4 linked regions of the Arabidopsis thaliana genome follow. The protein of the gene in region 1 interacts with the protein of each later gene in a pairwise test. Each region holds a gene or a part of one and is shown on either strand. Other genes may lie near its edges.

Region 1 (5,138 bases):
TTGTTTGTTACAAGAATTCGAATATTCATGTGTTTATTTCCTTCGTATAGCATATATATTTTCAGAATATTTCACAATTCAAAAAAGCCTTTATGAAAATTTTAAAAGAAGAATATTCGGTGTTGCATGGGTTTTAGTTACGCTCGTGTCTCATAATGGTCACACGTTTTGTTTTGTTTTGGCCTAAAGGGATTCCATCATAAACTGAATTTTACTACAGTAGACACGCCTATCCCAATGAATCAAATGGTACAAGACACGTCTAAGGACAAAATCGACTTAACAAAATGTTCTTCATTGGAATATTTTTCTATAGAAAAATTTCAACAGATAAAAAGTTAAAGAACGGATGAAAGAGTGCGAAAAATTCTTGTTGGTGGGGTAAGTATTTTCTTTTTGGACATGAACAATTTTCAAAGGGATATATTAAGAATATTAATCAAAAACTTATAAAGGTTGGAAAAAAAGGAAGAGGAAGATAGCACAAAGCCACAAAGTCATCCACAAGAGTAAATCATATGAAGACGAAACAAAATTCAACAAAGTGATATATTCCATTTTGATATTCAAAGCCAAAATGCTTTTAGGGCATTGGTTGCTTTGAGTGTATGTATTTTTCTCCCCTACAAATACAACTCTCTTTTATCTTTGTGAGTGATTCAAACTTAAGTTAGGAGGCATGTAAGGATGTTGTATAATCAGAATTTAAATTTAAATTAGAGAAATAGACAATAAAGTTGTTTAATTCGTCTTTAGGGCGAAATAGCTTTAAACCTAAATTTGTTTTTTTTTTGTTAGAATCTTTGTATGATGTTCCCTTTTTACAATGAGTTTCTATTTCCTTACGTTGTTTTAATTTATTTTATAGCTTATGATAAGTTTCATTCAAATCAGTGTGCCTTTTTAAGAATTTTGGGTATATTATGGGAATGAGAGAAACTATAAGGAAAAAAAAAGATAAAGCTTTAGCAGCCTTGGTAGAGAAAGTAACATCACTCAAATTCATAATAACACACAAGTAAAATATAATAATATTTAAAGACAAATTCAGAAGAAAGTTATAGCTTTTTCTACATGAAATAAAATCGAACTAGAATCCCTAGCTAAAGTAATAAGGAAATACAAATAGAAAATAGCACAATTGAACAAGTATACTTATACTCTTGGCAATAAGTCAAACAATTTCATCTTGGATACTTAATTTTCCAGTAGATAGTTTCCTATTAGATATTCCTCAATGGTTGTATTACTAAATTTAGTTCTTCTATTATAAGAACAACGTTTATTTTGGCTAAGTAATTGTGTGTTTAGATTCTCTTTACAAACTTAAACAAAACAAAAAAAGTTTCCATTATTCAAACCCCAATAAATTGAAAAGAGGCACACTTTTCTTGATATAAAAGTGATTATTACTTCCATTTAAGGAAATTAGGCCTGATAAGTCTCATCTCACAATATTTTCCATTAATTGCACAAATTGATAGCTTGCTTTTTTTCTTTCTGGGTCTACTCTTCTTTTTTAGTAGACAATTTCAAGTAAATGCTTATAGTCTGAACCTGTAATCATCACTCTTCTCTGTAATGCAGAACACTTAAAAAATTACATAAAATAAAGAATAAAACTGAGGAATAAAAAATAAAAAACAGTTAAAGATATATGAAAACAAAGTCAAAGTCTCACTTTCAAGCACAATCTCTTTCCTCTGTGGTATTTATCTGCACATAGAAAAACTAATAAAAATGGGAATCAAACAGTCTTTGCATTTATTGTAAGCACACACATATATGTGTACATGATAGTGACATTGGAGAATAATCCATCATGGTCGTCTTCTTGCTTTTGAGACTATACATATACATGTGCATTATATACACTACTCAAGTAACTAAATTATTTAATTTTGCATATATAGCCAAAGAATGATGTCTTTCTGTGTACACTTACTTCTTACTCTCTAGGTACTTGCAGTTCCTTATTTTAAGAGATCAGAAGAAACCAAAGTTTGGATCTTTTTATAGTTTTCTTCCAAGTTTTGTTTTTGTTTTTTCTTTTGTTGGAGTTTCCTTCTTCATATAGCTATAACCATATAGCTAGCCATGGATATGTTTTCTTCTCATTCCTTGTCCTATAAGCTAAGCTCTTTGTCTACTGAAGCAAGTGCCTCTTCTGGTAACAACACACTCAGTACCATCCAAGAATTCAGTGGCTTTCACAATGTGATTTCTAGTGTTTGTACACACACAGAGACTCACAAGCCTAAGAAAAAGAGAGGCCTTCCTGGAAATCCTGGTAAGAAAATAGTACTTTTTTTTTTTTTTTTTCATTTGGAATCTTGAAAAACCAAATGAATCAGGATACTGTCTTTGATTCCTGGTAGAATCTTGGAACCTAAACTTTTTCTTATGGGGTTTTGCAAAAAAGTCTTCCTTTTTTTAATATTAGGGTTTGTGTGAATATCATCTTTTTACCAAGACTATGTGTTTGAGACTTTATTTTTCATGTGAAACTGGTTTATTATGTGGCAGATCCAGATGCAGAAGTGATCGCATTATCACCAAAGACACTTCTTGCAACAAACAGATTCGTTTGTGAGATATGCAACAAAGGGTTTCAAAGAGATCAGAATCTACAGCTTCACAGGAGAGGCCACAATCTTCCATGGAAGCTGAAACAGAAGAACACCAAAGAACAACAAAAGAAGAAAGTCTACGTGTGCCCAGAGACAAACTGTGCTCATCACCATCCATCTAGAGCTCTTGGGGATCTCACAGGGATCAAGAAACACTTTTGCAGGAAACATGGAGAGAAGAAATGGAAATGTGAAAAGTGTTCAAAGTTCTATGCTGTTCAATCTGATTGGAAAGCTCATACCAAGATCTGTGGTACTAGAGATTATAGATGTGACTGCGGCACTCTTTTCTCGAGGTAACCCTTTTTTAATTTTTCATTTTTTTGTTCTTTATGTCAAGTTCTTTCTTTGTTCCTTGTCTTTCTTGAAAATTTTACTGATGTTTCTGTGACAAATCTAAATTATTGTCTATCTCTATAGAGATAGGAGTCAATAGTTTTTCTTGGAGTAGTTTGATATATATAGATGAATTTAATGCTTTCGTGTGACTGATTTCAATTGTCTTCTTTTGGTTATGTTCTTTGACAAATCTGCTTGTGACTGTCCATGGAATATAGTTTGAGTGCAATTAAATGCAGTGGCAAAATTCATGGATTAAGACATTATATTTACATGTTGGCCATTATTGCGTGTATATATAATTTTTTTTTTTTTTACATAAATCACTTCACACTTTTTTAGAGCTAATATGTATGTATTTGTGTAATATAAATTAATTCTTGTCCAACAAAAAATGATTTTTTAATAACATTATATGTAAAATTTGTGTTGATTTAATGAGGAGATAAAAAGAAGCCTGCAGGTGAATCTTCTCCTTCATCATCATAATAGTGAAAAAGAATCTTGATTTGATTTTGTAATTTTTTTTTTTGTAAAAAGATTTTGATAATCTATGATTTGATTTGCTGTGTGTAAAATTGCATTGGTCCATCATGACATAATAGGCTTCAAAAGCTTTTCTTTGAATTTTGAAACTTCTTTATTATCTCTGTATGGTCCACTCCAAACTATTTCACTACTTGCAATTGCATCATTTTATTTTTGGTTTAATGTTACAATTGCATCATTATTGATCATACATACATATATTGTTTATGTTTCTATCTAATATTTGTTTTTGTTTGTTTGTGATATATATATTTTATAAACAGGAAAGACACTTTCATAACGCATAGAGCGTTTTGTGATGCATTAGCAGAAGAAAGTGCAAGACTCCACTCAACTTCTTCCTCCAATCTCACAAACCCTAACCCTAATTTCCAAGGCCATCATTTTATGTTCAATAAATCTTCCTCCTTGCTCTTCACGTCATCACCTCTTTTCATCGAACCATCACTTTCCACCGCCGCTCTTTCAACGCCTCCAACGGCAGCTCTTTCCGCGACGGCTCTTCTCCAAAAGGCCACCTCTCTCAGCTCCACTACTTTCGGCGGCGGAGGACAGACTCGATCCATTGGTCATCACCGACATTTGACGAACGTCAACGAGTTTCTTGGTGTTGACCGAGTCATGATGACGTCAGCTTCTTCGTCTGAGTACGACCAGTTAGTTGTTGATGGGTTTACGTCCACGTGGCAGAAAGCTGACCGTTTGACCAGAGACTTTCTTGGACTCACGGGTCATGGGGGACACGTTAGCGTCAGACCTGGGGATATGCTAGAGTACGCGGGTGGAGTGGCGTTTCCTATGTCGGCGTACGATACCGAATCTCATGATCACTCGTTTCAGAAGGCTTACGATCATCTGGGATTCTCAGGGGCCCATCGTATGTAAAAGGGCAAAACTGGAATCTTGTTACTTTCTTTATTTTGTTTCTCTCAAATTACTTAAATACCCTCGTGGACAAAAAAAAAGACACAGAGCATTTCTTTCTGGGGATTATTAATTTTCTAAAATTGTTGCTAGCTTTGAATTTTTGTCTCGTTTACGTTGGATTTTCTTGTAAAAATATATTCGTACAAGGAAGTAAGGAACATTTAGAATTTCCTTAGTCAATATTATGTCCGTTAAAAAACCTAAAAAAGTTTTTACTTGGACATTACATGAAAAATCAAAAATAATATGATTTTCCTTAAAAAATGGATCGGTAAAAGTCCCACAAAACTGCAACGTCTCTAGGGATTGACGAATGTGTCCTCTCAAAGCCAGCTTATTTGACTGTGATAGATACTATACAAGTATACAACTTCTTTCATCATATCCACGTTACATGTATACATCATGTAATATGCACTTTTGTCTTCTGAAGATATATATTGCCAATCTTATACACATTGAGAAATACATATTCATCGTAACTCAAATTTGGCAATAGGTGTCGACAAACATATTTATTGTTGTTCTGATTGTTGTTAACAAGTTTCTATCGTAATCACTAATCAGTGACAAGGAGCTTATACTATTGATGGTCATTTATGTTGCCACTATGGCATTAGTAACGAACACTAACATGTATGTATCATTTTCATACTGTGATGAATAGTCGCTATACCAATCACAATTAATTTA
Region 2 (3,893 bases), on another chromosome or scaffold:
GTAATGCAAGGAACGATGTTTCAAACTTAACAAAAACATATTTACCAAAATTAGGAAACATACGAATTGGACAATAAAGGAATAATACCTTTTAAAAACATTTTTTTTTTTAATTAAATGGGATAAGCATCCAATACACACATAAGCAAATGGAGTTCCGTTGGTGTCGGAAGTGACATGTGTAGACAAAAATTAAAGGGACCTCCAACACTGGATGATGGATCTTAAGCTTATCATTCCAATCACGCAAATTAATTTAATATACAAACCTGCCGACTCCATTTATTATATGTATTTTTAAAGCTGTACAGTTACGAATTGATGCACATATTTGTTTGGAGATTTAATGGGAAATGTCGAATCAATCTTACACCAAATCTATTTGAAAGAATAAGATCTAAAGTCAAGCTAGTTATATCCACCACTAAATTCACTTATTCTGTTCGTTTAAGGAGTATTCAGAATTTACAAACTCTTCTCATTGTCTCCGAAGAATCACAAGTACTCGTCTTGAGATTGGTAAGAGACATCAGTTTAAAATCTTATTTTTAAAATGTATATTCTTATATTAATAGCCATGACATAAAATCGTCTTTACAGTGTATACAAAAAAAATACAACATTCATAAAATCGTTGGATTGTACCTACAATAAGTATATAGGTTATTAAAAAAAAACATCAAGTTTATATCATTCAAATTCACATATGTTTTTTAGTCTCACGTTAGATCATATTATAACTTTTGAGATGAAATTTCTAACAAATTTTTTGAAATTTGACTATAAATCAAATTGAGGCGTGTACGAATTGCACGTGTAAGAACATATGTACACAACTTGTAACGAATACTCACCTTGTAATATAAATACATGCATATGTACCAATAGGAAGAACGTACCCATGGCCATATACACTAATTAAGCAACAAGAAAGTGATTATGTTCAAAATGTTGCCTCCATCAATTACGCAAATGCACCAACACGGCACACAGTATTAAAAAAAAAAAAAAAAAAACACAGCACACAATGATACAAAGAGATTTATGGATTAACCTTGTCAACTAGTATATGTACGGTCAGCAAACTAAGGAACAAGAAAATGATTTGCTTCCATAGTACGATTTATTGTTATTCCATAATTTATAAATGCTCGATCCTCTACCTGACTTTATTTTGTATCGGATGACGATGATGATCGAGAATTTTCTAGTAAAGCCATCTAATAAAGTTTTTTTTCTTTTTTTGAATAATTCCACAACATCACTTGGAATTATTTTTTTCTTCGAAAACATACATAAACCTAAATAAATTACAAAACTCAAATTGCATCAAGAATACTATATGTCTCGTTTTTTCCCCTTCATGATCCCAATGAAATACGCCACTATAGTACATATAATCTTAATCATATATCTCTCTTTAATTTGTTATGCCGCATCTCCGGCAAAACCTAGATGAAGATCCAGCGAGTTAATACTTCTCATCTGATCAGAACGAGAACTCAGATCTCTCTGGAACTGAATCATGTTCGGTCGAACACCGTACAGCTTACCCATCTCACCGCTTTGTTCATTAAGATCTTGGCACGTGTCATTATTACCGAAGTTAATCTGCGACGACCTCGACGACCAATCTTCGTTGTACACACCCATCTGATCATTATTCACGTGCATGGAGGAGAATGCACAATACGACGGCGTTTTGTATTGTCTCTGAAATGACGTCGTTATGGGTTGTTGGTGGTTGGTGAGATAATAGCCGATGCTGGCTCGCCGAGCTTGAAGCTGAAGCCTCTTCTTCTTCAACCTCTCCTTCTTGTGAGCGTTTTGGTGACCTCCTAAGGCTTGAGAATTTGCAAACTCTTTACCGCAGTATTGGCACTCGTGTCTTTTCATCACTGTTAACGACGTCGTGTTTGTGGACGAGCTCACGCTTTCCGCCGTCGTGATTTCCGGCGTACGACTGCCGCTGATGAGTTCGAAGCCGAATAGCTTTATCGTCTTGTCGGAGGACGAACCTGAAGAACTTTCGCCAGTACGAGACATTGTCGGATTTATAGACATATATGTGTGAACGTATGTGTTTATCGATGGGTTTAATTTGCTTAAGGAGATGTGTAAATGATCTTCTTTATATAGCAAGAGAGAGACGGGGGATATTTAGTTTAATAGTTTGTAACTAATGATGCATTGCATCTGTAATAGTATAATATATTGTATGTCTAAAGAAATTTTATATTGTATGAAGGGTTTTTTATATTAGTCATGAACAGCATCAAGTTATAGTATTTTAGGGTTTATAATAAAATTAGTTGTTTGAATCTAAGGTGTGACGAGAAATGATCTTGGAAAATAAACCTTGATAGGTACAATAAATATTACACTAACATGTAATAGGTTTTATAGAGATATATGTGGATACCACGCGCATATGCATATATGGGAAAGAAAAAGGGCAAAATGATAAAACGGGTTAGAGAAATCTTTTAAATACTATATATAAAGACTTAACTTGTCAACTTGTTTTATCTTTTATCTTATGTATTATACTATTATATCTACATTTACTTAAAATTGATCAAATTTAATTTATTTTAAATATTGTGGAAAAATACTTTCTGTTTAGTGCGTGAATAAAATAGTTAGATTAAGTTGAGATATGATGAATAAATAAATATATTTGAAAAGGCATGCAGCGATCACACCACTTGTGACAATTAATACAAAAGTTATATTCTAAGCTTAAAGAGAACATTAAGATGTTAATATCATATTATTGATCTAATATCAAAAGTCAAAGAAAGATATGAAGAAATAAGGCTAACCAACTTAGGCCAAAAAATATAATCAACATGGAAGGTTAAGTATAATATTTTGATCCCATAATGATATTAAATTTCACTATGTATTTGAATAACGCATATATCCATCATAAATTTAAGCGAGCAGATGACATTTTGTATCAAAACGTTCACTCAAGAGCATATTGCAACAAGAACGAAATCAAACGAATCGTCGTCCCTTGTTCTCTAACAAAGTTAATAGTCTACTGGATATTCTTTTTATTGATGTGTTTTTATGTAATTATCATTGTAGATTTTTGAAATTTCCCATCAATTAAAGTTGCTCGCAGAGAGAATTGATGATGGAGCATGAATTGAAGCTTTCTTGTAATTTATCTCAATGTCTTCCACCTAAACCAAATCTTATTTGTCTAATTACTGTGAAAAAGAAAGAAAAAGCCTATCTTGACCATGTTTAATGAATGTTAATTACTTATTACATTAAACAGGGAGAATAGTTAGTTGCCAAATGAAGGAATACAAGAAGTGGGCAATGATGCAAGCATCTATACTATTTAACAAATAAAAATTATATTCATAAGTCTAATCTTCAAAACAAGATCTTGGGCAAATCTTCATAAAGCATGAGAAGACAATATTTTATACAGAAAGAAAACTGATATTAAAGAAAGGTATAGATTATTCTATTTTCAGGTGAATCAAGTCATGGGATAATCTTATTTTAATACAAATAAGTCTAATGAAATGGCATTTGGTTTGGACAGTTGTTCCAATTAAGGACCCCACTGCTCTGTAACTTAAAAGATAGATCAAGACAATTAAGTGAAATAACAATAATTAATCCTTATTAGGTGTTATAATTATATTCACTCGTACAACCTAAGATCTCTGATTGGTAGACTTTCTTGCCACCAATAGGTGTCTCATGCAATCAAAGCCTCTTTCCTCTCGCTCAGGTCCTTTATTTAAAATTTTGAAGTAAGAAATTGTAATATTATATCAATCGAGGGAAAGAAGAATTCCAAATAAGTATGCTGTCAACGATAATCTTTTATTTATCCAATAGCATGTGGAATAATTTTAGCTAAT
Region 3 (3,701 bases), on another chromosome or scaffold:
GTCATTAAAAATGGGGCCAAACAGTATTAGTCTAACCTTGTGATTTGCATTGGATACCCAATAGGTCATTCACGAACGTAGTATATACATAGGATAACCGATCACGTGGTGTAAGAAACTTAAAGGGCCGACGAGGGGTTACCTAACAAAATAAAAGATTCTTCTTTTAAAAGGTTTAAAAGAGAAATCTTACGCATAAACCATATACCAATATAAGTCTACAGAGATGTTAATCCTACAGCGTTCCACGTTTTACAAGTAGATCGCACCGCGCTTAGAGATGTTAATGGAACCCTAGAGAGTATCTCTTCTACCAAAGCCACCGGAAGATCAGACATCATCATTATACTTATAGATTGTGAATGTGTTATCTCATTAGAATGAGAATAAATATAGAGAGTTACACAAAGGAATTGGTTTCCTTGTTTCGGTTTATTGGTATAGAGAGTCTGGTTTATGTAAACCGGGAATCAAGTGAGATTTCACTGGTTAATCCGGAACAATCTATACTATAATTCTGGATTACAATAAAACAGACTCTATAACTCCGGATTAAAAGTAAAGAGGTGATAAGAGTAAAATAGGAGATTCAATTGATAGAACTGTATTTGTGTTACATCTTGATTAATGTAATGTACATTTACTTTTAAAAAAACGAATGACTAAAACAGAGATATAAAAAATCTCAATCAGCAGAGTATAGCTTTCGCAACCGATGGAACTGTAACAGACATTACCCTCGACGGCTCTCTCAAATCCTTAGCAGGTCGGGGTTCAGGCATACACTTAACATGAACTATACGACCATTCTTGGTTAAGTAGACTGCATCTTTGTACATCCAGTCATCAGCTTCATGGCTAAAGAACTCTTCAAACGGCTCTACGCATAACGCGCAATTCTTCTGATCTTCATCCGCAGGCACCATGTGTTGTTTTTGTACTTGATCCTTTTCATTCTTCTTCTGCATTTCTCCTCCTCCAAAAGATGCTACTTCTACGGTCCCTCCTCCCGTTGGTGCACAAAGCCATAAAGATGCACTCGCTAACCATCCCCTCGATTTCTTCGGTTGCTGACCAAGTCTTGTAGTGGTTTTCACCGACCTGTTCTTCCTTACGTGCCAATCCATATGTTTACTATGCTCTTCTTGACATTTGAATCTCACCCCACACGAAGTACATTGCCTCGGCATATCAGAATACAGAGACTTAATCACAGATTCATGTCGAACATTAAGCGATGATGGATTGTCAAAGCTTAATCCAACAGGCAATGAATCATTATTACTTGCTTCTGAAGTTTTCTTCTCTTTCTCATTGTTAAGAAGACTAAGCAAATCAGTCAATTCTTTGCTTAAAACAATTGGTTGATGCATCGATTGAGACACAACTGAAACCATGTTCGAATGATTCATCGGATTTTGAACATTCGTAAAATCAGGTGTGTTTGGTACAAAATTCGATGACCTAACAGGATAATTCGGAGTTGAATTTGGAACCCATTGAGGCAACGAATCTAAAGGATCAAGCTTACGATAAGGTAATGGAAGAGGAACAATTTGGGGATTAGGGTTTCCATAAACAACAAAGGGTTTCTGATAATTGTTGGTGTTAGAATCATTGTTAGGTAAAGCAAAACTTGAATTAGAAGCAATCACATCAACACCGTAATTGTTATATGACTGAGAAGAAACCCTAGACACGTTATTATTAGTATTACTACCATAATGATACAGAGGATTATGACCAGATCGGAATTGCTGTTGCAGTTGCGATCTGAAACGTTTTTGCGGCGGCGCGTAACGGTTCCTCTCCTCTTGATAACATCCGATTCCGCCACCGTAACCGCGATTGTCGTTTCGTCTCTTCATCGTTGTTCCAGCGTTTGCGTTTCTCTGAGCAGAGAAGGATCCGTTTGATGCCATCTTCGCGATTCAACAACAAGTTATGAGTTACCAGAGATCGATCGCAGAAAGACAAAAGAAACCCTAAATTTGGATTGGGGTGATCGCGTTGAGAATTTTAGAAATTGAAACGATTGAAAAATAAAACGAATCTGAAGAGGCAGGAAGATAGGTTTCTCTATAAATAAACGTTTATGTGATTATGTCGGTTGATAAAGTAAACCGCGTGAATCGCGCGTTGTCACATGTTTTGGGCCACGCTTTATAGGCCCAATATTTTAATGGGCCTGTTTAATGGGGCTTCTGGAATATAGTCGTTGTTCCGCTCTATTTTGAAGAAGGAAGCTATGGATTCTAAGAAGGCACTAGAGCTTGTAAAGCATGGAGCTACGCTTCTCTTTCTCGATGTTCCTCAGCATACGCTTGTTGGAATCGATACTCAGGTTTGTTAACTACTTCTTCAAAGTTTAAAGCTTTTATCGAATTTGAACTTTTATCAAATTCCTCAAATGTCATTTAGTAATGTTCTGGTCTCTGGTCTCTGTGATATCCTGTTAGTAGCACCATGGAACTGTATAAACCGTAAGTGAATATATATTCACTATCTTTTGTTGACTAAACAAGGTTATTGTACGCAAATGGAATCAGCAAGACGAGTGGTTAAACAAAGTATCTGAAGAAGAGGTATGGCCTTTTAATAACCTAGTGCAGTAAATTTAACAATCCTGCTTATACGTTGGTCAGCGCAATTTTCATTCTTTTCAATCCCTTTGATGCCAGGAAGAGAGGTATTCTCAAGCAGTCAGGTCTTTAGATTCGTATGTATCACCTTTTTTTCTTTTTTTGTGTAAGATGAAGTTTTTACGAGTGATATATAGTTCAAAAATAGAAAAGAAAAGAAGACAGTAATATCAATCTTTGTAAATAATTAAAATATAAAATAATTAAACTAGCCAAAACGATATAGAAAGTCGCCAAAATTTAGTCATGTTTTAATTATTCATTTTTTAGAAAAAAATACATAGATTAAAAAAAACATGTTAAAATTGATTATAAATGTATTAACTTTTGTGATTTACATTTTTATATAATTTTAAACTACTGATATTTAATTATTTGTCTTGAAGTTTAAAATTCATCAATAATAACTAATAAATAGTGTATAGAAAACCTAAAAAATTGCTTCATGAAACAAACTTTTTTTTCTAAAAAATTAATTAATAAGAAACAAAGAAAATAATAGTTACTACCGAATAATGATAATTTTGTGACTCATATAATCTACCATCAGAGAAAGAAAATTTGTGGGAATTAAGAGTCAATTTGGAACAAAATGTTTTAAACCGTGGTATATAAGAATATTTTTTTTTCAAGAGAATTGTTTTTTTATCTTTAGGCGACATTTTCCTAATTCATCCATAAAGTTAAAAAAAAAAGTTTTATGTATTTAATTTGTGTTACTTTGGAACTTTGGAGATGATTTGCTAAATTTGGAATTAACTTATTTTTTGTGTTATTTGTAAGAACTGCCATAAATTTTAAATTAATTTCAGTAATTTAACAGGAGAAATTTAAATTAATTTCAAGTATACATGTATGGGTCCTTATCTAGTGCTACAATAATATTAAACATGTCCATATATACCAAATAAAACGCAAAAAAAATTATGGTAAAACGGAAAATGCCACAACACTGCTGATTGCCGCTGCAATAGCTCCAACCACAAATCCTGGTAAATTCCCACCTCCAAATAACGCATCAATAGGACCAACTCCAAATGATACAACCATTTGTGGTAT
Region 4 (4,811 bases), on another chromosome or scaffold:
CCCCTTGCAATTTGCAGCGGATTTCATTCATCTTCGATCTAGCATGTTTGATTTATTCAATCGAATTCTTCTAAATCAGCTCGTTGCGATTTCTTTGTAATCCCTACGAGATAACGGATTTGAAGGTATTAAGGTCCCAAACTACTTGACAAGAGCCGGAAACAAATTCGACACCAGAGACCGATGATGAAATAAAGCTATAGAGAGCAGGAAATATGTAAAAAATCAAACACAGAAAGCGATGAATCAAACAAAATCCTAGCTCAAGAAGGAATTTTATAAATACCTGGAGACGAAGAACCCTCCTTAGAGAGATTGACTGGGATCGGGTTTCCAGTCATCATGTAAGCTGAGAAATCGCAGAATCGGGAGGAATAACGGAGAAGAGAGAAGAAGAAGAAGATGATCGGAGATTATGCGATTGTTAGAAGTCGAGAGAGAAAGGGGAAAGAAGAAGCTGTCAATAATAGAGAATTGTAGAAGCAACGTAGATATTCTTTGACCCGTTTACCTTCTTCCTCTTTCTTTTTTTGCCACGCATATCTTCTTTTTTTCCCAATTTTTACTCTATTTTTTTAGAATAATGGAATTTGTTCTAATAAAATTAAATTCATTAGGTATTATTTTTTATTTGATAATATTAAAAGGATTTTTTTTATAAAAAAAAGGAAACTAGGTAGATGACAATGAAAATATTCACCATTTTTTTCCCAACTAATCCGTGTTCTTTTAGATTTGGCCTAATCCCTCTAAGTAGTTATATTTTGCCTATTCCCTTTCTATCGTCTATTCCTAAAGAACAAACATGTAATGCATTCGTTTGTTCTCCCAAAGCCTAAGCAAAGCTTCTTTGGTATTCCTCTCTTAAGAAAAAAAATACAATGGTGCAATATGATTTCAAGAATATAAGTGTCGTCCCAATCGGAAACGAGTTTGTCGATCTCAGTCTTTCCCGCGTTCATCGTCAGACTCCAAATATCCGATCCTTAAACTGATCCCTCAAACTGATCTTAATAATGATCATAATGCTTCAGACTTGTTGGTTGATTCAGACGTTTTGTTTAGGCTTGAGGAATTGGCACATGAAGAAGGAATCAAGAAGGCTCATCATGAGAAACAAGAAGATGATTTTGTGATGGCCAAGGTACATATTAGGGAGGATCACAAGGACCAACTTGTTGCATTTCGCAAGAATATTCAACCCTTGCTGATTTTAATAGCCTTAGCATTTTTGGCTCTTGTAGCTGTAGGGAATACTTATCAAGTCATTCAAGAGTGTCTTTAAGCTTTTGAGTCTCTTTGGCTTATTGAGTTTTATTTTTGTTTCTTCCACATTTTTTCTTTCAATATTTAACATTTTTTCTGTTTACAACTGTGATTGGTAAAACAGAAACCAATCAAATGCTTCCACAAATCCCGAATAGTTATAGCTGACATTTTTATTGATTGCAAGTTTCATAGTCATTATCCCAAGATTTCAGTAACTTCGAACTGAAATTTTGTGCCATTAAAAGAAGTTGTGGGCCGTTAATGGGCCGGTAAAAGTTCCATTTTGTTAATGTTACAAAGAGATCAAATAAGGAAAACATGACGTCATCCATTTGACATTTTAGCTTATCGTAAACAGGCGCACCGCTTACTTCACGGCCCACGTTAAGCTAAATCTTTCCGGTTTATTGTCCTTTACAGAGAAATTTCGGTTTACATCTTATTTTGTGCACTGGGCCACGCCGGTTTAAGTTCCAATAAAAAAAACCGGCAAGAGTAAACAAAAAAGAGGAAAATCTCATCTTTTTCCCTCGACGACAACCACCTTAGGGTTAGGTTTATTTTCTCGCTTATTCTCTCTAACTCTTTTTCCCTATTCCGATTTCGATTTGTCTTCTCCGATTCGCTTTTCCTTTCGCTCTCTAGACTCTAGAGTCAATTTGATTTCTACTCTCGTATCGGATCTATACTTAATCATGGATACTCGTAAGAGAGGACGGCCTGAAGCTGGCTCATTCAACTCCAATGGCGGCGGATACAAGAAGTCTAAGCAAGGTTAGTTCTTTTACTCTTTATCTACTGGAATTCTGTTGTACCGATCTTTTTTAGTTCCTTATGTTTCACTGTCTCTGATTAAGGTTTAAATTCGAGATCTTAAGTTGTGGGTAAAATTAAGACTTTTTTTTGCTAGTTATGAGATTTACTAGGAGGCAAAATTTTCTTCTTTCGTTCTCGGTGCTTTGTTTTGGTGATTTCGTGTTCTGTTTGCTTACTTATCTTGTTAATTAGCTAGATTACTGCAAAAAGTACTGGCCTTTTTTATCTGATGTAAATCTAAATTGAGTGATGATAGATCAGCTTTAGCTAAGTTGTTACTATTGTTAAATGTTAATTACTGGGTTTTGTTGGTCTCAAGCTTATATCTTCCACTGTCCTTGAGTTTTAGTATTTCTTTACTTTAATCCCTCTTCTCAAATATAAAGCTAATAACAGTTTATAACCATACCAAGGATTTAGTTTTGTTGATTGAATAAGCCTTTTTCCTCTGCAAAGTGTTTTTGTGTCCAGTTGGTTAGTTATCCTGAAAACATTAAAAAACATTATGCATCTTTTGATTTGAAAGTTTCATATAGATGATAAGATGAATGTATGAATGATATGTTGGATTCTAAAAGCAATATATTGAACTTCAGATAAGTTTTTAACTAAAGGAAAACACTTAATGTTTGGAACAGAGATGGAATCATATTCAACTGGTTTAGGAAGCAAATCGAAGCCATGCACAAAATTTTTCAGGTTATAATCCTTTTACTTAATGAATTAATATTCGAATTGTTATCTACCTGCAAGTTTGATCCCGAAATTACCAAGTAATACTAGATGCTAATGAAGTGGTTAGTTGTTATACAGGTATGTAAACATGTTTCAATCTGAATAGATAAGCGTATCTAGTTTGAGAATCATTTAGTTCAACTGGTTGTTATAACATAACAAAATCAACCAAAACATGTATTTTGTTTGAGCTGTGATAGTTGTTCTTCTATTTGGTGGTAGGGTATTAGTGATTTTGGGTTTATAATATAGTTGTTTATGGTCAGGTAAAGTTGTCGCATTACTAGTGGAATTGCCGCGCATCTATAAGCAGAACCGGATTACTATTTTTATTCTCTTATAGCACAATGATCATTGCTGTATCAATATGCTATTTCTTCTGTCTCTATTTGGTTTGTTCTTGTGCTATTCTATTCCCATTGTGTTTAAATCTCTGATGTATTATGCTTCTATTGCAGTACTTCTGGCTGTCCTTTCGGAGAGAATTGCCATTTCTTGCATTATGTTCCCGGAGGATACAATGCTGTATCGCAGATGACAAATATGGGACCACCCATTCCTCAAGTTTCCAGAAACATGCAAGGTTCTGGTAATGGAGGCCGATTCTCAGGGAGGGGAGAGTCTGGGCCTGGCCATGTCTCTAACTTTGGTGACTCAGCCACTGCCAGATTCAGTGTTGATGCCTCTTTAGCCGGTGCAATCATTGGGAAAGGCGGAGTCAGTTCAAAGCAGATATGTCGTCAGACGGGAGTAAAATTATCAATTCAAGATCACGAGAGAGACCCAAACTTGAAGAACATTGTGCTTGAAGGAACACTTGAGCAGATAAGCGAAGCGAGTGCAATGGTAAAAGATTTGATTGGGAGGCTTAATTCAGCAGCTAAGAAACCACCTGGTGGTGGTCTTGGTGGTGGTGGTGGCATGGGTTCTGAAGGGAAACCACATCCAGGGAGCAACTTCAAGACTAAGATATGTGAGAGATTCTCAAAAGGAAACTGTACATTTGGTGATAGATGTCACTTTGCTCATGGGGAAGCAGAGCTACGCAAGTCAGGAATCGTCTAGTTGTTGCTTGCAGATAGAGAATTTGCTGGTAAAACTAGTTTCTTATTTAGTGGTGGTGATATCTGATATCATCTTCACCTACTTTGTTTTTGTTTGTTATGAGAGAATACAATTTTAGTTTCATTATCATTGTAAGTCTATTTGGTGTTTTTTTTAATAGTTTAGTTTTTGGTTAATTCTGAGTATGAATTGAGATGGGAGGAAGCTTGAAGAGAATGATTGACAAAACTCAGAAACAGTGGTTAGGATTGTATGACGCCTTTTATTCATATTCTTGTTATCTCCGTTATGTCATGTGTGTGAATCACTTATATAATTTTCGTAAGATTTTCTGAATATGTTGGAGTCTTTGCTAACTGTTTGAATCGAGATCAGTTAACACTTATTAAGAACAAAAATGTGGTTTCTTGTGAGAAAAATGGTTTAATAAAAATCCGTGATTGATAGAAGAAAAAGATCAAAATAAATGGTTGGTGACGGGTGATCTTAAAAATGTTGAAATTAAGGTGTGTCGTCGTTATACGCGGTAAATAGATAGATAGAAAAATAGAAGTCCAATGCAAGAGACTTAACTTAATCATCCCAATTAATTGATTGCATTAACTTGTACTTGTATTTTCCGTCCGCCACCTAATTTGATTAATAATATAATAAAGATTACAATTGAAAACATAAACAAGAGAAAATCCGCACGAATCTACCAAAGTGCATCACGTTTGGGTATCCATACACGTGACCACCAGTCCACCACAACACAATGTCTGTAGATATTTTAATGTTTCACATGATAGAAGAAGCCAAACGTAAGAACTCTCTTTTCCACTTTTAGCCCTTTCCCCGCCTACCACTGCTTACGACTTGTGTAAGTGGCAAACTAGTAATAATAGAGACGAAACTTAAATATAAAAAAGTTGAATCCAACCAAG

Evidence for each region.
Region 2: the proteins of IDD12 (region 1) and ZFP5 interact in a two-hybrid assay, tested with the Arabidopsis thaliana proteins (one large-scale study listed by BioGRID).
Region 3: the proteins of IDD12 (region 1) and AT5G43620 interact in a two-hybrid assay, tested with the Arabidopsis thaliana proteins (one large-scale study listed by BioGRID).
Region 4: the proteins of IDD12 (region 1) and AT3G12130 interact in a two-hybrid assay, tested with the Arabidopsis thaliana proteins (one large-scale study listed by BioGRID).

The regions. Positions count from the first base shown.
Region 1 is NC_003075.7:1,175,455-1,180,592, reverse strand, and holds IDD12 (indeterminate(ID)-domain 12), read left to right. Parts: upstream 1-1,968; 5' UTR 1,969-2,097; coding exon 2,098-2,290; intron 2,291-2,526; coding exon 2,527-2,926; intron 2,927-3,781; coding exon 3,782-4,403; 3' UTR 4,404-4,593; downstream 4,594-5,138. UniProt on the Arabidopsis thaliana protein: Probable transcription factor.
Region 2 is NC_003070.9:3,447,905-3,451,797, reverse strand, and holds ZFP5 (zinc finger protein 5), read right to left. Parts: upstream 2,108-3,893; 5' UTR 2,065-2,107; coding exon 1,429-2,064; 3' UTR 572-1,428; downstream 1-571.
Region 3 is NC_003076.8:17,520,874-17,524,574, reverse strand, and holds AT5G43620 (Pre-mRNA cleavage complex II), read right to left. Parts: upstream 2,090-3,701; 5' UTR 1,923-2,089; coding exon 690-1,922; 3' UTR 572-689; downstream 1-571. Other genes in the region: SUC6 (sucrose-proton symporter 6), read right to left, coding at 3,567-3,701.
Region 4 is NC_003074.8:3,863,560-3,868,370, reverse strand, and holds AT3G12130 (KH domain-containing protein / zinc finger (CCCH type) family protein), read left to right. Parts: upstream 1-1,689; 5' UTR 1,690-1,964; coding exon 1,965-2,043; intron 2,044-2,723; coding exon 2,724-2,784; intron 2,785-3,278; coding exon 3,279-3,885; 3' UTR 3,886-4,300; downstream 4,301-4,811.